Linked DNA regions of Anolis sagrei. The protein of the gene in region 4 interacts with the protein of the main gene of each other region in a pairwise test. Links are inferred from orthologs where the notes say so. Each region holds a gene or a part of one and is shown on either strand. Other genes may lie near its edges. The genes, in order: CNTNAP2, NAA10, OIT3 and MEOX2.

Evidence for each region.
Region 1: the proteins of MEOX2 (region 4) and CNTNAP2 interact in binary tests that used the Homo sapiens proteins (3 or more experiments, as listed by UniProt). The link is inferred for Anolis sagrei from reciprocal best matches to the Homo sapiens genes MEOX2 and CNTNAP2.
Region 2: the proteins of MEOX2 (region 4) and NAA10 interact in binary tests that used the Homo sapiens proteins (3 or more experiments, as listed by UniProt). The two-hybrid records come from large-scale screens. The link is inferred for Anolis sagrei from reciprocal best matches to the Homo sapiens genes MEOX2 and NAA10.
Region 3: the proteins of MEOX2 (region 4) and OIT3 interact in binary tests that used the Homo sapiens proteins (3 or more experiments, as listed by UniProt). The two-hybrid records come from large-scale screens. The link is inferred for Anolis sagrei from reciprocal best matches to the Homo sapiens genes MEOX2 and OIT3.

Annotation. Positions count from the first base shown.
Region 1 is NC_090026.1:64,582,477-64,589,347, reverse strand, and holds the start of CNTNAP2 (contactin-associated protein-like 2), read left to right. Parts: upstream 1-3,871; 5' UTR 3,872-4,370; coding exon 4,371-4,470; intron 4,471-6,871. UniProt on the Homo sapiens protein: Required for gap junction formation. Required, with CNTNAP1, for radial and longitudinal organization of myelinated axons.
Region 2 is NC_090022.1:176,150,969-176,158,989, forward strand, and holds the start of NAA10 (N-alpha-acetyltransferase 10), read left to right. Parts: upstream 1-5,015; 5' UTR 5,016-5,143; coding exon 5,144-5,164; intron 5,165-7,956; coding exon 7,957-8,021. UniProt on the Homo sapiens protein: Catalytic subunit of N-terminal acetyltransferase complexes which display alpha (N-terminal) acetyltransferase activity. Acetylates amino termini that are devoid of initiator methionine.
Region 3 is NC_090023.1:177,570,366-177,577,636, forward strand, and holds the start of OIT3 (oncoprotein-induced transcript 3 protein), read left to right. Parts: upstream 1-4,269; 5' UTR 4,270-4,446; coding exon 4,447-4,516; intron 4,517-7,271.
Region 4 is NC_090026.1:96,461,303-96,469,210, forward strand, and holds the start of MEOX2 (homeobox protein MOX-2), read left to right. Parts: upstream 1-4,895; 5' UTR 4,896-5,559; coding exon 5,560-6,115; intron 6,116-7,908. UniProt on the Homo sapiens protein: Mesodermal transcription factor that plays a key role in somitogenesis and somitogenesis and limb muscle differentiation. Required during limb development for normal appendicular muscle formation and for the normal regulation of myogenic genes.

The DNA.
Region 1 (6,871 bases), about 32 Mb from region 4:
TTTAACCAGCTTCAGGATTTTCAACCAGATAGGTTTTTCTCTGAAATAAGAACTAGATCAGTAGCAATAGGAACACAATATCAAGTTTAGATCTTCATATGTCTGCCTGCAGCTGTCACCAATCAGAACATATAAAATAAATGCATTCATTTTCCGGTCCCAATTCAAGGTGCAGGTGCTTACCTACGAAGCCCTAAACGATTTGGGACCTGCCTACCTGCGTGACCGCATCTCCGTATATGAACCCACACGATCTCTCCGATCATCTGGAGAGGCCCTGCTCACGATCCCACCTGCGTTGCAAGCACGATTGGTGGGGACGTGGGACAGGGCCTTCTCCGTGGTGGCCCCCCGACTCTGGAACTCTCTCCCCAAGGACATCAGACAAGCCCCAACATTGCCAGTCTTTAGGAAGAGCTTGAAGACGTGGTTGTTCCAGTGTGCCTTCCCAGAATAGGAAACTCCAAACATTATGTCCCAAATGCACTTTATTAGAGATTTAAGACTGTCTGCACACCACACCTATCTCCAAAAAACCTATCCATTTCACCTGTCATGCCCAGCATTTTAAAAATTTTAATAGTTACATTGGCCCGGCCTTAGTTTTTAAATGTGTCATGGTTATTATTGTCTAATGCTAATTGTTATTGTTTTAATGTTTATTGCCTGTTTTATGAGTTTATTTATTGTTGTATTTGTTATGATGTTGTTTTTTGATGTGTTGGGCTTCGGCTTCTTGTAAACCGCACCGAGTCCTTCGGGAGATGCTAGCAGGGTATAAATAAAGGTTTATTATTATTATTATTATTATTATTATTATTATTATTATTAAGTGAAGAAACTGGAAATGATTATGGGGAGTATGGTTTCATCTTCTTACTTTCCCTTTCACACTTCCTTGTCCCCTCTGTGTCCATCACTTTCTGTGCCTTAGCATGGGCACAGAAGATGGGGCTGGGGAAGGCTGCTTTTCCCTTGCTAAGCGCCCGACTGCCTTCTGTGGCCAAGACTTTTGAGTTGCCGGGGGACAGCCCTCCTCACGCCTTTCCTAGGCGAAGGCCAACGCCCGGCAGGGAAGGCGGAGGGAAGCTGTCCAGGTTTCAGCACTTCGGTTCAAATCCAATGTTGGTGGGGTTCAGAATGCTCTTTGATTGTAGGTGAACTATAAATCCCAGCAACTACAACTCCCAAATGACAAAATCTTTTTTTTTTTTTTTGAGTGAAGGACATACATTGAGTGGTTAAGTGTCTTGTGTCCAAATTTGGTGTCAACTCGTCCAGTGGTTTTTGAGTTCTGTTAATCCCACAAATGAACATTACATTTTTATTTATATAGATAAATGCAAGTGAAGAAACTGCAAATGATTATGGGCAGAGGCGGCCCTAGGAAATTTTCAATGGTAAGCAAACAGTATTTTGGTGCCCGCCCCCCCACCCACCCAACCAATCACTGATATATATTTTCTGTTCGTCATGGGAGTTCTGTGTGCCATATTTGGTTCAATTCCATCATTGGTGGAGTTCAGAATGCTCTTTGATTGTAGGTGAACTATACATCTCAGTAACTACAACTCGCATGTGTCAAGGTCTATTTTCTCCCAAGAGCGCTTCAAGAGCGCCCCTGGGCAAAATCAACTACACTGCAAATGCTTACTTTGCGTAATGGGTTGAGCCGCCCCTGATTATGGTTTCGTCTTCTTCTTTCCCTTTCACCCTTCCTTGTCCCCTCATAGAATCATAGAATCAAAGAGTTGGAAGAGACCTCATGGGCCATCCAGTCCAACCCCCTGCCAAGAAGCAGGAATATTGCATTCAAATCACCCCTGACAGGTGGCCATTCAGCCTCTGTTTAAAAGCTTCCAAAGAAGGAGCCTCCACCACACTTCGGGGCAGAGAGTTCCACTGCTGAACAGCTTTCACAGTCAGGAAGTTCTTCCTTCTGTTCAGATGGAATCTCCTTTCTTGTAGTTTGAAGCCATTGTTTCATGTCCTAGTCTCCAGGGAAGCAGAAAACAAGCTTGCTTCCTCCTCCCTGTGGCTTCCTCTCACATATTTATACATGGCTATCATATCTCCTGTCAGCCTTCTCTTCTTCAGGCTAAACATGCCAAGCTCCTTAAGCCGCTCCTCATAGGGCTTGTTCTCCAGACCCTTGATCATTTTAGTCGCCCTCCTCTGGACACATTCCACCTTGTCAGTATCTCTCTTGAATTGTGGTGCCCAGAATTGGACACAATATTCCAGGTGTGGTCTAACCAAAGCAGAATAGAGGGGTAGCATTACTTCCCTACATCTAGACACTATACTCCTATTGATGCAGGCCAAAATCCCATTGGCTTTTTTTGCCGCCACATCACATTGTTGACTCATGTTTAACTGGTTGTCCACGAGGACCCCCAGATCTTTTTCACACGTACTGCTCTCAAGCCAGGCATTGTCCCCCATTCTGTATCTTTGCATTTCGTTTTTCCTGCCTAAGTGGAGTATCTTGCATTTGTCACTGTTGAACTTCATTTTGTTAGTTTTACCCATCTCTCTAATCTGTCAAGATTGTTTTGAATCCTGCTCCTGTCTTCTGGAGTATTTATCCCTCCCAATTTGGTGTCGTCTGCAAACTTGATGATCATGCCTTCTAGCCCTTCATCTAAGTCATTAATTCACTCTGGGCAAGAGCGAAGAGAGGCCAGGGGACAGCACCATCTTGTCTCCTGCATTTGCCATCCGTTGGGGACCCCTCCCCTCAGCACCAACTGCCGCTCTGGGCCGGAGTGAAGAGAGGGGGGCCAGGGGACAGTTCCACCTTATCTCCTGTGCTATTCTAATAATATGTTATAATATAATATATAATATATTGTATTGTATAATATTGTAATGTAATGCAATATAATACTACTAATAATAATATGATATTATAATTATATATTTATATTACATGTAATATTACTAATAATATTACAGTATAATTGATATAGTGCAATATAGCAATAATTAAAACTGATATTGTACTATGTTAATAATATATTGTATGTATATATACCTTGTAAGCCGCTCTGAGTCCCCTTCGGGGTGAGAAGGGTGGCATATAAATGTCATAAATAAATAAATAAATAAATAATAAATTAATTAATACTGTGTCCATCACTTTCTGTGCCTCAGCATGGGCACAGAAAATGAGGCTGTTTTTCCCTTGCCAAGTGCCTGACTGCCTTCTGTGGTCAAGGCTTTGAGTTGCCGGGGGACAACCCTCCTCACGCCTATCCCAAGCGAAGGCCAACGCCCGGCAGGGAAGGCAGTGGGAAGCTGCTCTGGGGTTCCAGCACCTTGGACAGTGACGTGGGGAAAAAGCTCTCTGGTGTTTCAGCACCTCAGTCAGCGAGCGTGGTCCAACCTGGCGCTACAGAGACTCTGGGTTTCAGCACCCTGGATAGTGACGCGGGGAGAGAAAGCTCTCTCTAGTGTTTCAGCTCCTCGCCCAGCGAACCGGGTCCAACGCGGCGCTACCGCTGCTCTGTGGTTTCAGCACCTTGGACAGTGACGCGGGAGGCAAGCTCTCTGGTGTTTCAGCACCTCGCCCAGCGAGTGCGGTCCACCCGGCGCTACAGAGACTCTGTGGTTTCAGCACCTTGGATAGTGACGCGGGGAGAGAAAGCTCTCTGGTGTTTCAGCTCCTCGCCCAGCGAGCGGGGTCCAACCCGGCTCTAGGGCTGCTCTGGGGTTTCAGCACCTTGGACAGTGACGCGGTCCAAGCTCCCTGCTGTTTCAGCACCTCGGACAGCAGCACACTGCAAGCAGGCGCCGCATCGGAGAAGAGGCTCCGCCGGCCAGGGAGGGCCGCACTGACGGAGGCGGCGACGGGGAGGAGCTGCCGCTGCTGGCGGAGGAGCTCGGGAGGGGAGGGAGGGGAGGAGGATTTTCCCGCAGCTCTCCCTCCTTCCTCCTCCTTGCCTTCGCTGGGTCTGCTGCTTCTGCTGCCAGTCGATTCCTCCTCTTGGCAGCGAATGACGACTGGAGGCGGCCAGAGCCTCTGAGACAAGCTGCTCCTTTGCGGCCCATCGGACGCCTTGGCTGAGAAGAGCAAGGCCAGGATTGGGAGGAAGGGCTGCGCCTCTGGCTCTCCTCTTCTTCTTCTTCCTCCTCCCCCGGTGCCTCCCGCACTCCAAGGGGGAGGCGCGTTGTGAAGAAGGGGGCGCCGAAGTGCCCGGGACTTGGCTTCTCCAGGAGGAGGGGGAGTGAAGTTGCCCCCCTCTCTCAGCATACCCGAGTGAGGAGGCGGCGCCGGCCAACCCGCAAGGGAGAGAAGGCACTTCCAGCCTTTGCTTGGTTGTTTCCCTGGCTCCTGGGACCCCCGCGGCGGCGCCTGGCAGCCCAGGATGGCTGCGCTCCCCCTGCGCGCCGGCAGCCGGGCAGCGCTCTTCCTCTGGATTCTCGGCCAGCTCAGCTGCAGAGCCCGCACAGCCCCACCGGCTTCCCGTAAGTCCTGCATCCCTCCACGCAGGAGGAGAGGTTGGGTTCGGGGGCGGAGGGGGGCCGGCTTCTGCGTCGAGGGGCTGCGGCAGAGAGGGAAGTTTGGCTGTGCAGAGAGTGGCTCCCGGAGGACGGTTGGGTTGGCTGCGCTTTCGGGGAGAAAGGAGGAGAAAGTTTGGCCTCTGCTTGAGCTGGACGGCAGCCTTTGGAGCTTGTTTTCAGTTAAGAGGTGACAGCAGCAGCCGGTTGGGTTGGATGCTGGTGGACCAGAGGCGTCCTGGGCTGCAACAGAGCCAGAAAAAAGCATCTTTGACTGCTAGGCTGTCCTGTTTCTTTTTGTCGCGTGGCTTCAGGAGACTGTTGGGCTTGGCAGGGCGGGTCCCTCTCCTAACACTGCCCTGAAGATTGACTGGTCTCCCTACTGCCAGCCTTGGGCTTTGACTCAGCGCATTTCTCTCCGCTGGCCCCACTTTTCGGAGGCAGTCCTTCCCTTCTCCTTTTGAGAGCTGGGCCTTAGTAACTCTAGAGCAGGGGTCCTCAAACTATTTAAACCAGTGGTTCTCAACCTTTCTAATGCTGTGACCCCTTAATACAGTCCCTCATGGTTGTGGTGACCCCCAACCATAATATTGTTTTTGTTGCTACTTCATAACAGTCATGTTACTACTGTTATAAATCATAATCTAAATATCTGATCTGCAGGATGCATTTACATTCACTGGACCAAACTGGGCACAAATACCCAATACGCCCAAATGTAAATGCTACTGGGGTTGGGGGAGGATTGATTTTGTAATTTGGGAGTTGTAGTTGCTGGGATTTATAGTTCACTTATAATCAAAGAGCATTCTGAACTCCACCAGCAATGGATTTGAACCAAACTTGGCTCCCATGACCAATTGAAAACACTGGAAGGGTTTGATGGGCATTGACCTTGAGTTTGGGAGTTGTAGTTCACCTATATCCAGAGAGCACTGTGGACTCATGCACTGGTGGATCTGGACCAAACTTGGCACAAATACTCAATATGACCAAATGTGAACACTGGTGGAGCCTGGGGAAAATAGATTTTGACATTTGGGATTTGTAGTTGCTGGGATTTATAGTTCATTACAATCAAAGAACATTCTGAACTCCACCAACAATAGAATTGGCTCAAACTTCCCACATGGAATCCCCATGACCATCAGAAAATACTGTGTTTTCTTATGGTCTTTGGCGACCCCTCTGACACCCTCTCGCGACCCCCTCAGGGGTCCCGACCCCCAGGTTGAGAAACACTGATTTAAACAGAGGGCCCGGTCACAATCCCTCAAACTGTTAGAGAGCCGGATTATAATTTTTTTTAAAAAAAATGAATGAATTCCTATGCAAACTGCATATATCTTATTTGCAGTGCAAAAACTTAAAAATAATACAATAATTAAAATGAAGAACAATTTTAACAAATATAAAGTTATTTGTATTTCAATGGGAAGTGTGGATCTGCTATTGGCTGATTAGATAGGGTTGTTGTTGTGTGCTTTCAAGCCATTTCAGAGTTAGGTTGACCCTGAGCAAGGGCCAGGTAAATGGCCTTGGAGGGCCGTATCTGGCACTCGGGCCTTAGTTTGAGGACCCCTGCTCTAGAGGGCCTTCCACTCACTCTGACTATCAGGGATATAGCTTTCCATGATGACTACAGGGGAAGTTTTGCTTCTACTTCCTGGGTGTGTTCAGGGTTTTAGGCCTGCCATGGAATGCTGGACCTATTGTAATCCAGCAGAAAGGCATCCAAAGGCCCCTTCCACACAGCCCTGTATTCCAGAATATCAAGACAGATAATCTCACTATATCTGCTTTATAATCATAGAATCATAGAGTTGGAAGAGACCTCATGGGCCATCCAGTCCAACCCCCTGCCAAGAAGCAGGAAAATTGCATTCAAAGCACATCCATGCCTTGGTTCAGAGAAGTCAGCTATGTCTATGAGTTCATAAGTGTGTGTCTACAAAAGTACCTGGTAGGGTAATGAATGGAGACAAGGTGGTTCCAGATTTTAGAATGGATGAGTGCAATTCTACTCACTCACTGCATGTTTTATATAAAGGTCTTTAATTTCCAGGGAATAAGATTTCCTTGATCATAGAATTATAGAATCAAAGAGTTGGAAGAGACCTCATGGGCCATCCAGTCCAACACCCTGCCAAGAAGCAGGAAAATTGCATTCAAAGCACACTGGACAGATGGCCAACCAGCCTCTGTTTAAAAGCTTGAGAAGGAGCCTCCACCATACTCTGGGATAAAGAGTTCCACTGCTGAAAGGCTCTCACAGTCAGGAAGTTCTTCCTAATGTTCAGATGGAATCTCCTTTCTTGTAGTTTGAAGCCAATGCTCTGTGTCCTAGTCTCCAGGGCAGCAGAAAACA
Region 2 (8,021 bases), on a different chromosome or scaffold from region 4:
TGCCATAGATATATCTAGCATGCCTGAGGACCTTTCTACACTGCCATATAAAATCCAGGTTGTCTGCTTTGAACTGGATTATATCACAGTGTAGACTGATATAATCCACTTCAAAGCAGACAATGTGAATTGTCTACTTTGATAATCTGGATTATATGGCAGTGTAGAAGGGGCCTGAGGAAGGATTTCTACTCTACCCATCTCCCCATTACAAATGATTTCTCTGTGAAGGAATAGCCCCACTAAAAACTAATTTTCCATCACTAACAAACCTCATCCCAAGGCCAACTGAAACAGAATGAATCTGCATAAGGTAAAAGAATTCAACAACTTGTGTAACACCATACCAAGTCTTAAAAGATTTCTGAAAATAAAAAAAAACACCTTATGTCCATGCATCTCCAGTCATAGGAATGGAATGGGGAAAGATTTTTTTTGTTTTCAGTCAGTCACTGATTATTCAGATTTGATCAAATTATTCTCTCTAGAAATTTCTTCAGTTCTTCAGTGTCGCTCTGTGGAGAACCTCCACCTGAACAGCTCTGTAGCAATCTCTATGGCAGTGATCCTCAAACTTTGAATCTTGACATTTAGGAGTTGTAGTTGCTGGGATTTATAGTTCACGTACAATCACAGAGCATTCTGAACCCTACCAACGATAGAATTGGGCCAAACCTCCCACATAGAACCCCCATGTGGGCCACAGCAATGCGTGGCAGGGGACGGCTAGTGTATGTGTGTGTGTGTGTGTGTGTGTATATAAGTCTACTCGTATGGGACTCTGGTGCTCATCTCCATTTCTAAGCCGAAGAGCCGGTGTTGTCCGTAGACGCCTCCAAGATTACGTGGCTGGCATGACTACATGCAGCGCCATTACCTTCCCGCAGAAGCGATACCTATTGATCTATTCACACTTGCATGCTTTCGAACTGCTAGATGGCAGGGATATAAAAGTTAAAATAAAATTAAAATGCCATTTAAAAACTCAGCATTGCTAAGCCAGAAACATAAATTTGCCTTAGGCCATGTAGGCAAGATTGAATGGCTTTCCTGATTTTATAGTTTAGGGTGCAACCCTAAACATACAAAGGTGTGAGCCCTGTAAAGGAGAAGAATTTACAAGTGAGTGAGTCGCTTGTGAATAAATATGCATAAATCAGTTAGTGAACACACAGACTTAAATCCTAATTTTTTTGAAAAGCATATCAAAGTTGCTCACTATCGCATGATTAGTTTCTAAAAATAATACAATTATGAACACAAAGAGGCTTAATAAGGAGCCGAGGTAGAGAAAATAACATGGGAAGAAGAAAATGAGTGCTGATTTGTGTGCTGATCTTCTCCAAACAGGGCATTTTCACTGGTTGTGCTTAGATTTGGAATGCATGGCACTTGGAAGATGTTTTCAGTAGACAAAAAAAAGGAGGTGAGCTGTGATCCTTAACTGAATCTGATCAGGGCCTACAAGGAAAGCTTGTACTCCAGGAAATAAAGGGTCAGCCTAGAAGTCCCACCATGAATGAAGCAATCCTCATCTATAGTCACTACCATACTCTCAGGAAATGCAGCTCTGACATGCCAGGGAGTAAATACTGGGGGTTTTTTTCCCCAGCGGAAGTGAACAAATGTGCTCTTTATGACTGCCGCCTGCTGGACAAGAATATAATCCTATCTTCGGGATCTATATTATTTATCCATGGCTTGCTTTTCAACAAGTGTCTCTTAAACCTTTTCCACTTGCTTCCCCTTATTATCCATTAAGTTTTTGTGTGTATAGGTATAGAACATAGGTATAAAAAGCAAACATTTACTGATAACAAATCAATATTTAGGGGACTTGCTACACAGGCTAATTTTCCTTTTTCTGGAGTACAGCTGAAGCATCTTCTGCAGATGTGTAAACGCTGCACATCGTCATTGCTAACAGATTTGTGTAAATGTGTGGCATTTGGAGACCTTTAACTGTTGCCAAATTTTGTGTGACCCCAGCATTGAACTAAGGGGACCCCATTTGGGGCCCGGAACCACAGTTTAAGAAGCAGTGAACTAAATAAAAGGCGGTCCACAGCATTTCTGATTTTAAGTGCTGCCACTCACAACTTCAAAGATCCAGAATTACAGTAAGAAAAAAAATTACCAGTTGAGTACCCTTTATCCGAAAAGCTTGGAATCAGAAGTATTTGGGATTTCAGAATGTTTGCATATAAATATATAGCCTGAAGGACTCTTTCTTGCTGAGGTGTTCCTGTGAGTATCTCTATAGCTCTTAGAACGTGATTTCTTGATTTAAGGTGTTGGCGTGCTGGCTGATATCCAAACAGAGGATGGGTTGCAGATGTCACTGCCTTGGTCCTTTTATTATTGGCTGCTACTTCGTGGCGGATGTCAAGTGGTGCAATACTGGCTAAACAGTGTAATTTCTCCAGAGGTGTTGGACACACTGTCTCATTAAGAGCCACATCCACTGTATTGGCATGGTGAGATGTGTTCCAGGCTGGGCATGCATACTCAGCAGCAGAGTAGCAAAGCGCAAGGGCAGATGTCTTCATTGTATCTGGTTGTGATCCCCAGGTTGTGCCAGTCATCTTTTGTATGAAATTGTTTCTAGTGCCCATCTTTTGCTTCGTATTCAAGCAGTGCTTCTTATAGGTCAGAGAACAGTCCATGGTAACTCCCAGGTATTTTGGTGTGTTCCAATGCTCCAGTGGTATTCCTTGCCAGGTAATCCTCAGAGCTCGAGTCCAACCCCCTGCCACGCAGGAAAAATATCTGTATTTATTTTATTTATATCCTATATTTATACCCTGCCCTTCTCACCCCCAAGGGGGGCTCAGGGCGGCCTCACAAACACCATACGGTGTCATCATAATAAAAAAAACCCAATACATTAAAATATTAAAAATATTAAAACAATAATTAAAACAATTGATTAACACACACCTATTAAAATCAAAGTCTAAAATCCAGTCGTGGTCAAATCATTGCCATAACTGTTAAAATCTTCTTTTACTTGCTGCTCACTAATTGAACGCTTAGTCCCATAGCCAGGTCTTGGATTTTTCTTCTAAAAGACAGGAGGGAGGTGGCCATTCTGATGATTCTGGGGAGAGCGTTCCACAGGCGGGGGGCCACTGACGGGAAGGCCCTGTCCCTGTCCCCACCAGTCAAGTTTGCCATGTTGGTAGGCATCTGGAGAGCAGGGCCTCTCCAGATGATCATTTTCGAGATGGTTCATATCAGGAGATACGTTCGGACAGATAGTCTGTGCCAGAACCGTTTAGGGCTTTAAAGGTTAAAACCAGTACTTTGAATTGTGCTCGGAAGCTGATCGGCAGCCAGTGGAGCTGGCGTAACAGAGAAGTTATGATCCCTATACGCCGCTCCAGTGAGCAGCCTGGCTGCCAACCGTTGGACTAATTGAAGCAGAGATGGCCATCCAGCCTCTACTAAAAAGCTTCCAAAACACCCGAGCCTGAGGGTTCCGCTGTTGAACAGCTCTTACAATCAGGAAGTTCTTCCTAGTATTCAGGTAGAATTTCCTTACTGCCATTTGAACCCATGGCTCCATTGAGTCCTAGGGCCCTTCCACACAACTGTCTAAAATCCACAGTGAATTACATTATATGGCAGTGTGGACTCAGATAACCCAGTTCAGAGCAGAAATTGTGGATTATCTGCCTTGATAATCTGGTTTGTATGGCTGTGTGGAAGGGCCTCTAGTGTCCAGAGCAGGAGAAAAGAAGACTGCTCCCTCTTCCTATGACAGCCTTTCAGTGAGATTTCAATTCATTGTATTGTCGAAGGCTTTCATGGCCGGAATCACTGGGTTGTTGTAGGTTTTTTCGGGCTATATGGCCATGGTCTAGAGGCATTTTCTCCTGACGTTTCGCCTGCATCTATGGCAAGCATCCTCAGAGGTAGTGAGGTCTGTTGGAACTAGGAAAATGGGTTTATATATGGCCCTAGGTAATTTTCAACGGTAAGCAAACAGTACTTTGCCCCTCCCCCCCCCAAACCAATCACTGATATAGATTTTCTGTTCGTCGTGGGAGTCCTGCGTGCCATATTTGGTTCAATTCCATCATTGGTGGAGTTCAGAATGCTTTGATTTTAGGTGAACTATACATCTCAGTAACCACAACTCGCATATGTCAAGGTGTATTTTCCCCCAAGAGCGCCTCAAGAGCGCCCCTGGGCAAAATCAACTATACTGCAAATGCTTACTTTGCGTAATGGGTTGAGCCACCCCTGTATATATCTGTGGAACGACCAGGGTGGGACAAAGGACTCTTGTCTGTTGGAGCTAGGTGTGAATGTTTCAACTAACCACCTTGATTAGTATTTGATGGCCTGGCAGTTGTTTTCAATTCATTGGAAGCGTGGTGGTGGGAAATTTTTTTGCAGAAACAAACTAATGAATTTATTGGGCGTTTGTAGGCCACAATGGCTGGATCTACACTGCCCTTATATCCCAGGATCTGATCCCAGATTATCTGGCTGTGTAGACTCATATAATCCAGTTCAAAGCAGATAATCTGGGATCAGATCCTGGGATATAAGGGCAGTGTAGATCCAGCCATTGTGGCCTACAAAAAAACCCAATACATTCATTAGTTTGTTTCCCACCTCTATAACACTTGTTAATTGGGAACTTTATTATAAGAGCGGGATTGGCAATCAATCATCACCTTTTGTAGGGTTTCTGGTACCGTGGGCGTCAATCGACCTCAGTCTAGTATCTAATAGGCTCCCTCAGCAATCAATCAAAAGCCACCTGAGTGCAGTCTCATTGACGGGTTTGTTCTCTAGAGAGGCTAAAAGAGGCGGGGACTGTCTTCCTAAAAGGGAGTGAGCAAGAAGCTTTGTGATTGGCCAGAGGGGCGACTCATAGACACACCCTGATTGGGTGTTGAGGAGGAGGCCTTTGCTCAGATTTGGATGGTGTTTCAAATTGGACAAGAGAGGGGGTAAATTCTGCATCGTGATTGGCTAGGGGATTTCTCTTCTCTGCTTTGCCATTGGCTGCGCGGCAGAGCTGGCCGCGTTCTTCCCGTTCTCGCCCAGCCCTTGTCTTCCCGGCACAGCTACAGGGCGTCGGTGGTTCCAGTGGCCGCGTGAGAGCCGAGAAAGAATCGTCGCTGCCATGAACATCCGGAATGCGCGGGTTCGAGTCCCGGTTGGGGCGGGAAAGGGTGGGCTTGGGGCGAGGCTGCCAGTGGTGGGAAGAGAGACAGAGAGAGAGGAAGGCCTGCCTTGGAGTTCACCCGCCCAGTCCAGAGAAAGGAGGGCAACAAAAAGAAGGCCCTCCTCATACCATATTTCAGTGGTTCCCAACCTTTGGGCCTCTGGGTGATTAGAACTTCAGCTCCCAGAATTCCTGACAATTGGCCCAGGTGGTTGAGGCTTCTGGGAGTTGTAGTCCAAAATCTCCCCAAAGGTTGGGAATCACAGGCCTAGTTCTTGAGGAGTGTGAGTGTGTCAACCAAGCCTATATCTGTTGGTGTCTGCATTCTCACAGGGATGCATCTACATTGAGGAATTAATGCAGTTTGATACCGCGTTAATTGACATGGCTTAATGCTGTGGAATCCAGGGATCTGAGGCACCTGGTAAAACAAGGGTTCCTTCCACACAGTTATATAAAATCCACATTGAACTGGATTATATGGCAGCGTGGACTCAGATAACCCAGTTCAAACCAGATGTGGAATTTTCTGCCTTGATGTTCTGGGTTATATGACTGTGTGGAAGGGCTCCCCCCCCCCCCCAAGCCTCTGGTGACACAGTGAACTTGTTGACTGAAAGGTTGCAGGTTCGAATCCGGGGAGCGACGTGAGCTTCTGCTGTTAGCCCCAGCTTCTGCCAACCTAGCAGTTTGAAAACATGCAAATGTGAGTAGATCAATAGGTACTACTCCAGTGGGAAGGTAATGGTGCTCCATTTAGTCATGCTGGCCACATGATCTTGGAGGTGTCTATGAACAATGCCGGCTCTTCGGCTTAGTAATGGAGATGAGCACCAACCCCCAGAGTCGGACTTAGATTATCTTGGGTTACATTCCCAAGATAATCTAATTCTGTAAATTTGTGCAAATACAGATATTCCCAAATCCAAAGTATTTTAGATAAGGGATACTCTACCTGTATTTGTTGCTCTTCTTTTAATTTTCTTGATAGTTTAGTTACATTTTTACTTTTGGACAGTGTAACTTTTTTCATCAGTACATTGGGCCTTCAGTATTGGCTGGGTTTTGGTTCCAGGACCCTCTGTGGATACCAGAAGCCATGGATCCTCATGGCACATTGTACACAGTGGCATAGTAAAATAATGTCACTTAGAAAAAAATGGTAAAACAAGGAAAAATATTTTCAGACCATGGATTATAGAATCCATGGGTTCAGAATTAGATACAAAGGAATGAATACACACACACACATATGAATCCCAAACTGAGAAAAGGTGGGCTATGAATATAATAATAATGGGAAAGCCAAGGGGAAAGAGTTATTGGGTGAAATATTTTGATTTTGACTTTCCACTATTAGGCAGTTTAGGGCAATTCTGTTGTTACTTTTTTAGGTAGCCAGCATTAGAAAAATAGAATCAGAGTTGGAAGAGGCCTCGTGGGCCATCCAGTCCAACCCTCTGCCAAAAAGCAGGAAAATCACATTCAAAGCACCCCTGACAGATGGTCATCCAGTCTCTGTTTAAAAGCCTCCAAAGAAGGTGCCTTCACCACACTCCGGGGCAGAGAGTTCCACTGCTGAACAGTTCTCACAGTTAGGAAGTTCTTCCTCATGTTCAGATGGAATCTCCTTTCCTACAGTTTGAAACCATTGCTCCATGCCTCAGTCTCTAGGGCAGCAGAAAACAAGCTTGCTTGCTTCTCCCTATGACTTCCCCTCACATATTTATACATGGCTATCATGTCTCCTCTCAGCCTTCTCTTCTTCAGGCTAAACATGCCTAGCTCTTTTAAGCCGCTCCTCATAGGGCTTGTTCTCCAGACCCTTGATCATTTTAGTCGCCCTCCTCTGGACACATTCCAGCTTGTCAACATCTCCCTTCAATTGTGGTGCCCAGAATTGGACACAATATTCCAGATGTGGTCTAACCAAGGCCATCTTTTTCATACATACTGCTGTCAAGCCAGGAATCCCCCATTTTGTATCTTTGCATTTCATTTTTTTTCTGCCTAAGTGGAGTGACTTGCTGTTGAGCTTCATTTTGTTAGTTTTGGCCCATCTCTCTAATCTGTTATGGTTGTTTTGAATTCTGCTCCTGTCTTCTAGGATATTAGCTATCCCTCCCAGTTTGGTGTTGTCTGCAAACTTGATTATCAAACTTGATGATCATAATCCTTTTCCACTGATTACATGAAAGACGATATGTTCTAGAATTACTCTAGATGATTTCATGAAAAATGCCTTGCTGGATCAAATCTGAGCCTGTCAATGGTTGTGGGTTCTCAAGGTGGAATAAAGGAGCAATATACCTCAGGATATTGGATCCTGAAGGCAAACAAGGTAGCCTTCCTTCCTTGTTTATGAATTGCCAGAGGCATCTGGGTATTTCTTGTCAGAAAGAAAAGGTCGGAGATTCTCAATATTTAATATTTCAAGGTACTCTTGCTCTTCTGAAAATGGAAGAATTATATCTGGTTATTACAGATCATAGTGCTTGACAGTCTATTTGGACTCAGTTTGATCCACCTGGTCAACTGTTACTGTTTGGGTTTGTATTATGCTTTGGGGAAATTATTAGGGCCTGAAAATAATGGCAACATAGTGGTTGTGATCATTATTGTGAACACAGCTTGTCTTCACACTATTTGGAGATATTGTTTAACATTTATATATGCTAGCCACACTCACCTAGTGGAAGGGATGGTCTTTTGATGGTCATTGCTGCTTTTGTTTATTTTCTCATCTTTTTTTGTCTGCCTTCCCCTTCCAGCCGGAAGACCTGATGAACATGCAGCACTGCAACCTCCTTTGCTTGCCGGAGAACTATCAGATGAA
Region 3 (7,271 bases), on a different chromosome or scaffold from region 4:
AAATGAGTAGTGAGATGTGTGAGGCCAACCTTATATTGCCAAATGTAAGGATGGAGCATTGAGATATTTGGATTTTATTAGCCCATGGGTTCTCCCCTTTTCTCCAAAATGTTTATTTTGTCTATTTTTGCACTTTTGTGTTGGATTATTTTTATCTTTCCTGTCTGCATTTCATTCCAGTAGCAATTTTGTTTGTTTGTTTGTTGTTGATTTAACATTTCCTAGAGCATGATATGAACTCATGGATTTCTAGTGTAACTTGTTTACCAAAATGTGATCTTCCTAGTTCCTTGACCTCGAGCTATCAATCTTAGAAGCATGTCCAAGCTTATCTGGACTATGCAACCTCCAGTGAACTGCAGACCAGGACTTGCCATGTGTGGCAATTTCACATCATCCGTGATAAGTGTTATTTTTCTTCTTCCTATGTCCTGCATTTTGTCGAAACTATATTTGGTAGAAAAGATTACAGAAAATGAATGCACTCTATGGCTTCCCGTCAAATTGGTGAGTCAAAACAGGATTTGCAAACTTTTCCAATCACACTAGGAGGATTCACTCCAACAAATGACCCTATTTCTTCCAAAAGTGTGCACAGAAATTCAGTGCTTGGAATTACTTGTAATGGGGGTACTCTTATGAGACTAAATAAATCCTTTTTTGGTTACATTTAAAGGAAAATTTAAAGCATTTTGATGGAAAGTTTCAAATTTTATGGCATTCTCTTATCAATTATAACACTCCTTGGCAACTAACAAAAAGCAGTCTGAAGTTGCAAGCAAAACACAAGCAATAAATCCACTCTGTTTAAAGCATGTAGTGACTAAATCGGTGGTTCTCAACCTTTCTAATGCCATGACCCCTAAATGTAGTTCCTCATGTTGTGATGACCCCCAACATAAAATTATTTTCGTTGCTACTTTATAACTGTAATTTTGCTATTGTTATGAATCGTACTGTAAATATCTGACATGCAGGATATATTTTCATAGATACAAATGGAATCTAATTAAAACAGTGATTAATCAGAAAAACAATATGTTTGGGTCGGTATAAACAAGGGATGATAGGATTTGCAGTACCTTCAACAGATTCAGCTCTGACTTCCACAGACAGCTAAGACCCCCCACGAATTACAGACTTGGACCAAACTTGGCATACAGAACTCCCATGACCAAAAGAAAATACTGGAGAGGATTGGGGAAGATAAACCCAGATATTTGGGAGTTGCAGTTGTACCTGCAATCAAAGAGCATTACGAACTGCACCAACAATGGAATTCAATCAAACTTAGCACCTACCTGGCAGGCTGTCACTAAGCTTAGCACTAATCTGGGCCACTGTCTCTTGTATTCTATGAACTGTGGTGCAAATAAATAGGATCCCATGGGGTAAAGTGATTTTAACCTGGGCCCCTGTCTCTTGCATCCTATAGGCTGTGGTGCATACAGATAAATAGGATCCCATGGGGAAAAGTGATTTTAACTTGGACCCCTGTCTCTTTTATCCTATGGGCTGCGGTGTAGATCAATAGGATCCCATGGGGCAGGCATGTAGCTGGGGTGGGGCGCTTGAGGGGCTTCAGCCCCTCCCCCAAATTATCATGGTGGTCCGCGAGAAGGCCTTACTGGTGCATTATTTAAACTGTTATGTTTGTTTATATCATGATCTGATCACCATGCTCAATATATCCCATAAGCATGGGGGTATTGGGGTAACGATACAAAAGGTTTGCTAGGGTAGACCCTCTTTCACTCAGATTCACCCCCCCCCCCCCGAATCAAACTCAGCTCCCCCCAAATAAAAATCCTGGCTATGGGCCTGCCATGGGGAAAAGTTATTTTAACTTGGGTGGTGCATAAAAATAAGATCCCATTTAACCTGGGGCCCTGTCTCTTGCATCTTATGGGCTGTGGTGCAGATAAATAGGATCCCATGGGGAAAAGTGATTTTAACTTGGGCCACTGTCTCTTGCATCTAAGACTCCATCTACACTGCCATATAATGCAGTTTGAACTGCATCATATGGTCAGTGTAGATTCGTGTAATGCAGAGTGAATTATAAGTTAGAAAGTGGCACTGTGGAAACAGGAAATTTCTTGCAGGTTCCCCCCCCCCCCCCCCGCAGTATACTGTACGTCTCTGCTTATATAGACGCATTTCAAACGTTAATCCTTAATACAGAAAGACAAGTCACTGGAGGCTGGAAACTCTACAGTCTTGTGTAAGCTAACAACATATGATGAAGGGTAATGGCTTTGCACCAGTTTCTCTCTTCAGTGCAGACAGACATAAACAAGAGGCCATTGTGATTATCTGGTTTTAATGGATTCCCATTGATCAACCATAGAGGGAGCAACTAATGTCCAAATGAATAACACTAGGCAGCAAACATGAACTGAGCTTGGGAGGAGAAAAAGAAATGGCCAGGAAATATCTTTCTTATATGTCATTGTATTTCACATCAGAAATGGGAAGCTGAAACTTATCACTTTTTTATTTGATCCTGAATGGTGAAGTACACCAGCTTGTAAATAGACAGCACATTGCTTCCCTTGACTGGCTGTACTGTCAACCTTCAGTGGCAGTTTATATTTCGGAAGCACCAAAACCAGCTATTCTCTTTGATAGCTCTGCAGTAAGAGCATCGGTTTTTCATTTGTGTCTGCTATATATCGGTGTTTACTATTTGGCTTTTATTATGTAGCAGTGTGTCCTCTGCTTCATGTGCCAAATTTTAAGATGGGGCAAGGTTTAGGATGAATCTAGAACTCATTCGAACAAGTTTCTGGATTTCTCCCATGGCTTTTATAACATACTGCAAAGTTTCACTTGGCATGGTGTGTCAAAGGGACATTTTAGTTCTGGTCATTACATTGTATTTTTGCTGTCCTGTTCAGTGCAAAATACTTCAACTGCCCTACTTCTGACTACCAAGTTAGGACCAACACCTGACCATCATGCCAGCTTTCTGTACAGTACTTTAACCCATCCTAACTCTTGTTCTTTACCTGATTGAGTTGAGAAGGATATTCCTTATCTACTCCATTCCATATTATTATTATTATTATTATACTTTATTTGTACCTCGCTAGCATCTCCCAAAGGACTCGATGCGGCTTACAAAGGCCAAGGCCTCAACACACAATATAACAATACAAAACCTAAGGCAAATTAAAAACAATTAAAGCAATATAACAACAAGCAATAAACAATACACTAAGACACAATAAAACTGGGCCGGGCCAGAGTGATGGGTACAGGATTAAAAGTGCTGATGTGACAGGTGGTATATAAGGCTTATAGGGCAAGTGCAGTGTGCAGTGTGCGGCAATCTGAGTTTTAATAAAGTGCTTATGGGACTTGGAGATTTCTTATTCTGGGAAGGCACACCGGAACAGCCAGGTCTTCAAGTTCTTTCTAAAGACTGCCAGGGAAGGGGCCTGTCTAAGATCTTTGGGGAGGGTGTTCCAGAGTCAGGGGGCCACCACAGAAAAAGCCCTGTCTCGTGTCCCCACCAAACGCGGCTGCGACGCAGGCGGGATCACGAGCAGGGCCTCTCCAGATGACCGAAGTGAACGTGTGGGTTCGTAGACGGAGATGCGGTCACGCAGGTAGGATGGTCCCAACCGTTCAGGGCTTGTAGGTAAGCACTTGCACCTTAAATTGGGCTCGGAAAATGAACCGCAGCCAGTGGAGCTCCTTGAACAGGAGGGTTGACAACCTCTCTGTAAGGGCCCCAGTTAACATCCTGGCCGCTGCTCGTTGGACCAGTTGGAACTTCTGAGCCGTTTTCAAGGGCAGATCCATGTAGAGCGCATTGCAGTAGTCCAATCTGGAGGTGACCAAGGCATGGACCACCCCGGGCAGATCAGCCTTCGCAAGGTACGGTTGCAGTTGGCTCACGAGTCTCAATTGTGCGCCATTATACATTTATGTTCCCATTTGGAAACTTCAGGACTGAAACTTTGTTCCTTCATGTGCTGTTTCCTCAGAGCAAGAATCTCTCTGGTCACCTTTTCCTCTTTTAAGGAAATAGAATGGAGGGAAATTAAAATGGTGATAAAGATGACCCATCTTTCCTCCCCATCCCCGTTTGCACAGGATGTAGCCCTTTCTTGGTCACACTTTACAGATTAGATAGTAGAGGTGTCACTGGAAATCAAGAGAACAATTGGAGGATGGGTTTGAAAATATACCAAATGGGTGACATTTTTTTAAAAGTCTTTTTTGTCTCTAAAAGACAGAGTAGGTCAAGGCTACAAATGACCCCTCCGTATCCCCTCATCCTTTTCCTCTGATAAAACCCCTAGCATCCTGACTAGTCTTTCTCTGATCCACTCCGAGCTTGGTTCCACATTCAGACTGAAGACACATCACAGCAAATCAATTGAGTGCGTTTAACAGGATTATTCTGATACCACAAGTCGCCCTGGACAAGGAGGGATGTTTCTGCTTCTCCTTTTGTCCTTCTGCCTCCGGGCCAAAGCACAGCCTTTACAGGATAATACAGTGGGTGAGTAGATGCTAAACTATTTATTCAATGCCTGTACATGTCCTGTTAAGTCTCCTTGGCAAGTCAGCTTTTAGTGCAGTAAATACACAGGTGTTACGAAGGATGATGGAATCTTAAAGCAGATCTCGCAAAAATTACTTCTTCACAAGTGTTTTCCAGAGACCACTGTTGAAGCCTGAAAAAGAAACTTTTCCAAAATCGGATATAAAGTCAAGGTTGCAAACCTTATATTTTCACAGTAACACAGAATCCTGCCTGTGTTGGAAAGTATGATTCCCTCTCTCCAGGTATTAAGATTTCCGTGTAAATGTCACAAATATGTAAACCTTTGAATCAGTATCTCCTTACATTATATGCAGTAGGTTGACTTGACATCAGATCCTGTAAATTGATTCAAGTTGCCTCTCAACTGTAGAATTAATGGAGTTTGACCCTATTTTAACTTCTATGGCTCAATGCTATGGAAACCTGAGGTTTGTAGTTTGGTGAGGCACGAGTACAAGTTGGCAGAGAACGCTAAAAACCTCGAAGCTTACGATCCTCCGGGGAGGCCCTGCTCTCAATCCCACCTTTGTTGCAAACACGCTTGGCGGGGATGAGAGACAGGGCCTTCTTGGTGGTGGCCCCCCCACCCCACCTGTGGAACTTGCTCCCCAGCAAAACTGGGTCAACTGCTTCCCTCTTGTCCTTCAGGAAAAAGTTGAAAACCTGGCTATGGGACCAGTATTTGGATAGTAGGTTGATAAATGATGACCATGCTATGGTAAATGGACTGAGGTTTGTAGTTTGGTGAGGCACGAGTACAAGTTGGCAGAGAACGCTAAAAACCTCGAAGCTTATGATCCTCCGGGGAGGCCCTGCTCTCAATCCCACCTTTGTTGCAAACACGCTTGGCGGGGATGAGAGACAGGGCCTTCTTGGTGGTGGCCCCCCCACCCCACCTGTGGAACTTGCTCCCCAGCAAAACTGGGTCAACTGCTTCCCTCTTGTCCTTCATGAAAAAGTTGAAAACCTGTCAATGGGACCAGTATTTGGATAGTAGGTTGATAAATGACGACCATGCTATGGTAAATGGACTATGGACAGGCTTCGCACCAAGTTGTTGATTGTAGAACTCAGATTTACATGTGGCCAACTAATTGAATTTGCACTATTTTAAATGGTTTTAATTTAAATTCAAAAAACTGCCAGGCCATCAAATGCGAATCAAGGTGGTCAGTTGAAACATTCACACCTAGCTCCAGCAGACAAGAGTTCTTTGCCCCACCCTGGTCTTTCCATAGATATATAAACCCACTTTCCTAGTTCTAACAGGCCTCACTACCTCTGAGGATGCTTGCCATAAATGCAGGCGAAACGTCAGGAGAACATGGCCTTATAGCCCGAAAAAACCTACAACAACCCAGTGATTCCGGCCATGAAAGCCTTCGACAATATATTATATTATAGCTTACTTATTGCATACTATGGCTTCTCTCTGAAGTTTTTTTTAGTGTTTCTCAATACCTTCCTCTTGCATATGGATAGTACAGTTTTGGCTTCCTGAGCAAAGGTACTCACGCAGCTTGAACAGCTGAAATAGAATCATGCTGAATTGCAACCAGAATAACTATTGTAATCACAGGCAACCCTCGCCTCTCAAATAATAGGCAGCCAGCAGTCACTGTTCATTTCTGTCCAGGGTATTTTCTCATTAGTTCAGAATGCATCCTTGTTTCTCAACGGTGCTGCCAACAGTGTCTCACATTTCCTAAAATTTAGATTAAGTAATACAACAGTGGGAGAAGCGGCTTGGTGGGAATCCAATCTCAAAAAGAACGAAAAAGCTTTTTGCTCAGTTCGGATGTGCCTAATCAGAGCAATTGGGTATTTTAGTATAACTACGATCAAAAGTAATGAATTGGCCTTAGTCAAGAAAAACATTATCATAAATCCTTCCGCAATGGCAGACCCAGCCAGTTATGGCTAACTGATGCTTAATCAGGTGTTAAATATATGCAAAGATTAAGCTGCAAACTTTTGCTGCAGAAGCCGCTCACAGAAGATTAAGTACAACTCTGATGAGAAGTGAAATGAACATTTTTATTACATTTCTCTCTCTCTCTCTCGCCTCTTCCACTTGTAATGTTTTCAGAGTTTTCCGAAGTTCTGCTTGCTAGGAATAGCTCCGATGCTCTTCTCATCAGCACACAGTTCCTTCTGTTGGCACAGTGCTTCCTTCCTTGAGATCAATCAAGTCTTTTCCTTGAATGCATAATCTCCTCATTAATAGCAATTGGGAAAATGCCACTGTAGGGTGGTATACAGAAAGCACAGAGTTTCTATTGTGCGTTGCTGCATGGTAGGCGGTCGGACTGGATGGGCTTTGGAGTCCCTTCAAACTCTCTCTCTCTCTCTCTCTCTGTATATATATATATCTCTCTGTATATATATATATTGCTTTTACTTACTTACTTAGGCGATCCCTCATTGTCCGAGTAGGATAGTCTTCCAAGATCAGTGTACTGGTGGGTCCGTAGGTGACTGTGGAGCCCTATTTTTGATCTGCATCTTCTCCCGCAGTGAGGGCATCGGTAAAAGATGGTTCTGATCAAGGTTGGCTTGACGCGCCTTCCTCTTGGCACATTTCTCTCTTTCGCCCTCCATTCATGCCTCTTCAAATTCTACAGCACTGCTGGTCACAGCTGACCTCCAGCTGGAGTGCTCAAGGGCCAGGGCTTCCCAGTTCTCAGTGTCTATGCCAGAGTTTTTAAGG
Region 4 (7,908 bases):
AGATACAGTTGATAGGTAGATAGGTAGGCAAATTTTAGTCCTCTGTCTATCTATCTATCCACATAGATATAGGGGGAAGAGGGAGATACATTTGGTAGATAGATATATAGATAGATCAGGCATGGGCAAACTTCAGTCCTCCACCTATCTATCTATCTATCTATCTATCTATCTATCTATCTATCCTTCCATCCACATTTATATAGGAAGTGAGAGATATATAGTTGGTAGATAGATAGATAGATAGATAGATAGATAGATAGATAGATAGATAGATCAGGCATGGGCAAACTTCAGTCCTCTATCTATCTATCTATCTATCTATCTAGCTAGCTAGCTAGCTAGCTAGCTAGCTATCCTTCCATCCACATTTATATAGGGAGTGAGAGATATATCGTTGGTAGATAGATAGATAGATAGATAGATAGATGAGAGAGAGAGAGAGAGAGAGAGAGAGAGAGATCAGGCATGGGCAAACTTCAGTCCTCTATCTATCTATCTATCCATCCATCCATCCATCCATCCATTTATCTATACAACTAGATATAGGAAAGGGGAAGAGATACAGCTGGTAGATAGATAGATAGATAGATAGATAGATAGATAGATAGATAGATAGATAGATAGATAGATAGATAGATAGATAGATAGAACAGGCATGGGCAAACGTCAGTCCTCCATCTATCTGTCTATCCATCCATCCATTATCTATACAACTAGATATAGGAAAGGGGGGAGATATATAGTTGGTACATAGATAGATAGATACAGCATGGTTAAACTTTGCTTCTCTGTCGATTTCCATGTATCTATCTATCATCTATCTATCTATCTATCTATCTATCTATCTATCTATAAACACAGACATAGGGATATATACAGTTGGCAGATACTAGATATATAGATAGATCAGGCATGGACAAACCGGTCCTCTATATTTATCTATCTATACAAATATATATATATATAGAGAGAGAGAGAGAGAGAGTTGGTAGATAGATCTATAGATAGATCTATAGATAGATCAGGCATGGGCAAACTTCAGTCCTCTATCTATCTATCTATTCCCTATATATATATATATAGAGAGAGAGAGAGAGAGAGAGAGAGAGAGATACAATTGCTAGATAGATCAGGCATGGGAAAACTTTTTTCCTCCAGATGTTTTGGACTTCAACTCTCACAATTCCTAACAGGCAGTAGGTTGTTAGGAATTGTGGGAGTTGAAATCCAAAACAGTTGAATACAAAAATATATTATTTTATGTTTATTTCGAATATTTGTACCTCACCCTTCTCTACCCTGGAAGGGGGACTCGGGGCAGCTGAGATAGAAGAAAGAGATGGGTGGATAGATTAGATAGATAAATAAATAAATAGAAAGTCAGTTAAAATGTTCATAATAAAACGTAAAAACAATTCACATCACAATTTAATATATTATGTTGGCATAGGGGTAAGAGATACCTTTGGATAATGGTTTTAGGGATCAGGTGGGGGGGGGGGGTGCCAACAAGCTCTGGCATGCCATTGTAGAGGCTGTCCTGGATTCAAAAAGAAAAGGCAGACTTGTCTGAGACCACAGATCATTCCTAAGCTTATAAAACCAAAGAATCTATATGGGAGGATATAGATTGGTGTTCTCTCAATTTGTTTCAAGGAAACCTCTGCATATGTAGCATCCTTTCATGTTCTAAGTATGAAAACCATAAAATCAATATGTGTCAAGATGGTAATCAAGTAGCTTGACAGGTGTGGGGAGCCCTGCCGTAAAATGAATTGTCCACACTTGTAATTGCACTGCAGCGGAAGTGCTAGTCCACAGCTGTTTGCCATATTGAAATGTATTCACTTGACTGAAACAGACCTCTGGCCAAGGGGCTTATTTTGGGCCAGAGAGAGAGAGAGAGCAAGTTTAAACTCTCCAGGAAACTTCATTTCTAGACTCTTTGGATCTGAATCCAGTGCACACGGGTTTCTGTCTATCCCTATTAGCACATTTCTTCAGAGACACCCCAGTGTGAAAGGCATCTTGATCTGAGGGATCTCTTTCATTGTTTCCACAGGCTACTTTTACACATCATAGAACTGGTCCAAGTTATCCATCTTCTAAATAAAAAATCAACAGTCGCTCCAGGACAAGACTGAGACATCTCTTTTCAGCACTAGTTAAACTATAAACTATTTTGCTGACAGACATGAGGAGGCTGGTAAAGATTGTATAAATGAAGTTGTGGTTTTTAAAGGCGATTGTTTTGAAATATATGGAGCATGACTCTTGGAGTGAGACTGAGAGCTCCTATTTGACAAGAAAATAATTCCAGGATAGTCTTAGATTTGTGACTAGCTTTATAACAATCACTGTTTTTGTTTAAAAGTTGGAAAAGAGCACAAAATTACTTCATCGAAATCAATTCTCTGTATATGTGGTACAGTAAATAGCTGTACACCCAATCCACCAAAATGCTGGGGAGTAAGAATTCTAATATTTAGCAAGGGGAAAAATATAACATTTTTATGGCACATCACATATGTTACCTCAATAATCCTTATAACCTAGTAAACTCAGCTGATGTTATTATTCCCATATTGTGAACAGGAGGAATGCTTAGGCCAGGGATAGTGGCTTCCCTAAGGTCATTTTATGTCTTCAAGGCTGAAGGAAGTTTAGAATCATGATGAACTTCCCATATTATAACTCTTTTCTCACAGTTCATACTCCTGCAATTCAATATCATGCAGGCTTACTGAGAAGTAAATCCCATTGAATGTAGTGAGAATTCCTCCCTAGTAAATATGTTTAGAATTGTATCCTTAACCAATATCCTGCACCAGGGAAACTAGCACTTAAAAAAAAACCTCTTGAGGCAATGAAGCAGAGAAGATTTCATTTACCTTTTTTACTTGCCAGGAAAAGATATCCTGAGAGTTGCAATATAAAATATTTATGCAGAATTCTCCCCATGGATTTTGGAGAGAAATGTGAGGATGCGAAGCTTATTTTCCCTGAGCTGCTGGGTCCAGTGAATCCAGTATTTAATATGGCCCTGATATCCCAGGCTTGCTCCCAGCTTGAGACAAGGAAAGTTCATAAGGCCATATCACACATTAGAAAACAGCTTATGCTGACGATTCATGGAAATGAAAACTAATATTCAAAAATATACCTGAGATAAAATAGCCTTTAGGGGCAACCATAAAAATCAGTGGGTTTAAATTAAGTCTTTTCCAGCTGCAGCTTTGTTTTGAACCTTCTTGTGATTCTGAAGTGTGTGTATGTTTGTCTTGGGGTATTGCAGTTTTAGCTGAAAGGTCTTGAGGGTCCTTGGAGAAACATCTACAACCTCATCAAATAGCTGGTTCTGGACCTCCATGTAAAGAGGTTCTTAGTCTCACCATATACATCTTTAAACCATGTGTAAATTGTCTCATTGATGACTATGAATGTAGGTGTATATTTGTGGCGGGAAGCTCAATTGGCCAGGCTTCTCTTTAGTCAGTGTCCATGTTGCATTAAATAGACTTGTGTCCCAGATACTGGCCTACATATGAGGAAGGAGGTCCCAGGACTAAATTGTTTACTGTGACATGTGATGGGCTATTGTTCATCAGTTCATGAGTGAGATCATGGAAAGGAAATTTGATGACTGTGTTGAAATGAAGAGAAGAATAAAGACCAAAAAGTCTGTATTGTTCATAAGAAGTTCCATCATGCTGACTCTTTTCAATGAGACATCTCACAACAGTGTCAGATAGCTGCTAAGGTCTCACAACCAGTCCCTAACCTAACTACCTGTCTCTGGTCTCTATTCTAGTAGAGCTTCTGAACTCAAGATTTTGGGGGTTTCCATTAGTGGGAGAACATGTGCAAAGGGAAGTGTGGAGAAACTGGAACCAGTTTACCACCTTTTTCCTAAGCAGCATGGTTTCAGTGGCAGCTGAACCTGAGGAACAGTTCAAAATTTTAGTCTAAAATGTAGCAGAGGTATCCAAGGTGCTGAATGGTGTTTCCAAAACAGCTTTGGACATTGGATAGTTCTTTCAAATATAGGGTTAGAGCCTGGACTAGATTCACCACTCTTGCTGAAAGGGGACACATTTGATGCCAGTATGAGTATACGGAGCTTTAGTCAAACCATTCTGTCCTCTGGAAGGTGAACAGAAGAATTTATGCAGCAGGAGATACAACCTAGTTCTAGCTGCCACCTCTGCCTGCTTACTTGGTCACTTTTAGTTCTAGGTGACATAACAAAGGCAATGGAGTCTGCTGGGTCCATGCAACCTTGAAGAATGGTGTAAATGGGCAAAGCAGAAAGGATTGAAACACGAGACCAATTAAGCAGGTCTTGATTTCTCAGTTGTGGCACATTGAGCTCCTTGATCTGGTGGCATAAAGTGAAAGATCAGAACCAAGTTCCATCCAGAAAGATTTGCCCAGCTTTTCCCCATTCAACAATTTCAACTCGACACTTCTGTCCAGTGGAAAGGGCAAATTGTTTGGAGAAGGCCCCATCCCATGTTGTTCATGGAGGACAATATCATGGAAGTAGGAGGAGATGCCTTCTTTATCCAGGGTCTGCTGCTTAGGAGAGAATCAATTGGGGAGTGAGGGAAGTCACACAGAACCAAGAATCATCCAGAAAGATTTGCCCAGATTTCCCCTACCCAACAACTTCAACTCAGCACTCCTGTCCAGTGAAAGGGGCAGATGGTTTGGAGAAGGTCCAGTCCCATGTTGTTCATGGAGAACAATATCATGGAAGTAGGAGGAGACGCTGCTTAGGAGAACCAATTGGGGGAGTGAGGGAAGTGACACTCTGAGCCGCATCCTGCACCACCCAAGAGAGGTTTAGTCAATGGAAGTGCCCATTAGCCATTGCTTCCCCGTCCTTCCTTGGGTAGTAGTGATGAGGCCCAGAGGGAAGGAGCAGCAGGAGTGGCTCCAGCTGAGAGTGAGAGGGATCTATTGTGGGGGGAGCCAAGAGAGTTGGGCTGCCAGAAGTTGAGAGGAGGACCCTGGCTAAGAAGGCATGAGGACAGCCCCCCTGGGGTCAGGGCTTGGGTCCTCCGAGTGGCCGGTGGCAGGGCTGTGAGGCTGAAGCGGGGAGGCCGCTGCCTGTGGTCAGTGCGCCGTGCAGCCTAAGCCAGCCCCCGGCTCACGTTACACACTCCTGTATTTATAACCTCGGCGAGCCGCTTCCCCCGCGGAGGAGCAGCCACAACAGCAGCAGCAGCAGCACTCGGGACCACCTCCTTTTTGCCGGCAGAGCCGAGCCCCGCGCCCCTTTCCCCCCACCTCCGAGCCAAGCCAGTGAAGCCACCGCCGGGACCGGTTGCGCGCCGAGGACTTGGATTATTATTCCCGGTTGCGCTCCCTTGGCCCGCCTCGCCTTGCCTGGACGTGCCCTGCCTGGCTTCGGGGGTGGCTGGCAGGAGAGCCGAGGGGCAGGAGGAGGAGGAGGAGGGGGGCGAGGAGGACCCGGGCACCAGCGCCTGGTGGTTCTGGGCCCGCGGCGGGCTTTCGGGGCCGGAGGCGCGCGGGTCCCGCTTGGTGCATGCCATGGACCACACGCTCTTCGGCTGCCTGCGCAGCCCCCACCATGCCCCCGGCCAGGGCTTGCACCCCTTCTCGCAGTCCGCCCTCGCCTTGCACGGCCGCTCGGACCACCACATGTCCTACCCGGAGCTCTCGGCCTCCTCCTCCTCCTGCATCATAGCCGGGTACCCCGGCGAGGAGGGCATGTTCGGCAGCCAGCACCACAGGGGGCATCACCACCACCATCACCATCACCACCATCACCAACAGCAGCAGCAGCCGCAACAGCCGCCGCCTCACCAGGCTTTGCAAACGAATTGGCACATTCCGCAGATGGCTTCGCCGCCGCCGCCCCCTCCACCTCCTCCTCCGCCGCCCGCCTCGTCCAGGCATAGCCTGTGCCTCCAGCCCGACTCGGGGGGACCCCCGGAGCTGGGCAATAGCCCCCCGGGACTGTGCTCGAACTCGCCGAGCTTGGGAAGCAGCACCCCGACGGGCGCGCCGGGAGATTATGGCAGGCAGGCGCTGTCCCCGGTGGAGGCCGAGAAGCGCGTCGGCAAGCGGAAAAGCGACAGCTCAGGTAAGGAAGGGCACACAAGGGGCTTCTCCCTGCGAGACGGGAAGGGGAGGTGGAGAGGGGCAGCCCGGGATGGGCGAATCGCCCAAGACTCCTCCTGGCCACTCCTGGCCTGGTGTCACTTTTGGGGGGCGCAAAAAGCTTTGTATGACGGCTAAGGCATAGGCCATGCGGTTGAACCATGAAATCGCTCGTCCACACTTCCCAACAGGCCAGAGGGGGGAACTCTCGGGGAGTTTGGACTCGTGTGCGCCTCTGACACCTGGGTTTCCCTTCCGGGATTCCCCACTTGGAAAAGAGAAGCGCTTTCCCCACTCCATCAGCCAGTTTATTTCCCTAGTTTCTTTTTTCAGCCAGTGCTTAACTCTCGAGAAGTTGGCATTTCTTCTTTTGGTTTATTTTATACAGGATGTTTTAATGCTATACTTCTTTGACTGGGAGTAAATCCCAATGAGATAAATGGGATTTACGTCTATGTAGACATGGATTCCTATCCATTACAAAGCTTTATTTGGTTTGTTTTGTAGAGGAAGCCATAATCCTATGGCTGGGATAAATCCCAATGAAATAAATGAGGTTCATGTCTATATAGCAGGCATGGCCAAATTTAAGCCCTCCACGTGTTTTGGACTTCAACTCCCACAATTCCTAACAGCCTCAGGCCCTTCCCTTCACTTAAGCGGCTGAGGGGGGAAAGGAAGGGCCCTGAGGCTATTAGGAATGGTGGGAGTTGGAGTCCACAACACCTGGAGGACCCAAGTTTGCCCATGCCTGCTATATAGGCACAGATTTGTCTCCACTACAATGTTGTAACATACACGTCCCTCTCCTCTGTCGTTTTTACAAGTTATGTGTTCTGTATTTAATAGCTTCTGTAATTTCCAGCTTTTACATGCTACATACAATTTTATATACAGGGTCCTGAACATGTTTGGAAAAGGATTTGAATTATTAATCTACTAATTAGTGAAATCTAAGAAAATGTCCCTCTATTATAATCAATTTCAGTTCCTTACTGAAGCATATTTACATAGGATACACACTCACATACTCAGTTAAGGATTTATTGTGCTAGTAATATGCCTGTTTGATTTTGAAAGTAAATCGAGGTGTCACTTTGGCTATATATATATGTGTGTACTAGGGTTGGATTAAATGTGCTACCAGCATTCCAAGCAGTTTTGTATGACAGATGTTGGCCCCATGATAAAACTGCTAAAGGTAAGTTATACAGACAGGCACATGCAAAAGAAAAGGAAGTTGTGGTTAGAAAGAGAAAGTAATAGCATTTCCCTTGTATTATTAGAAATACAAGGGAAGCCATGATCATGTTTCCTTTAAATGCAAGCTGAATAATGAAAAAAATAGTTTTCTTTCTGCATTTTCTATATTTAACAGACTTATTTCTATTTTCAATAATTTCCCTATACCAATTATAACACTTTTTCAGAAGTTGACAGGTTCTCATACTACATACCTAGTGGTTTATAAAGAAATTGGTTTTTCCAAATCATCACTAAATATGTAACATGTATGAAGAAAATTCAAATTTCTAGGGCATATAATTTTAAATTGGCAGATGGGTAAGTGTAATAACTTAAAATTCTATTACCTAAAAATGGAAAGGAAATTTTAATTTCACTTTGTTGTTATACTTCAAGTCTCAAATATGTAAACTTAAATTACAATGAATTACAGTATAATCCACAACACAATGAAGCAATTTTCATTTATTTGATATGTGAATATTGTTGTTCTTAATATTACCGCTTTATACTCATACTCATAATGAAAAA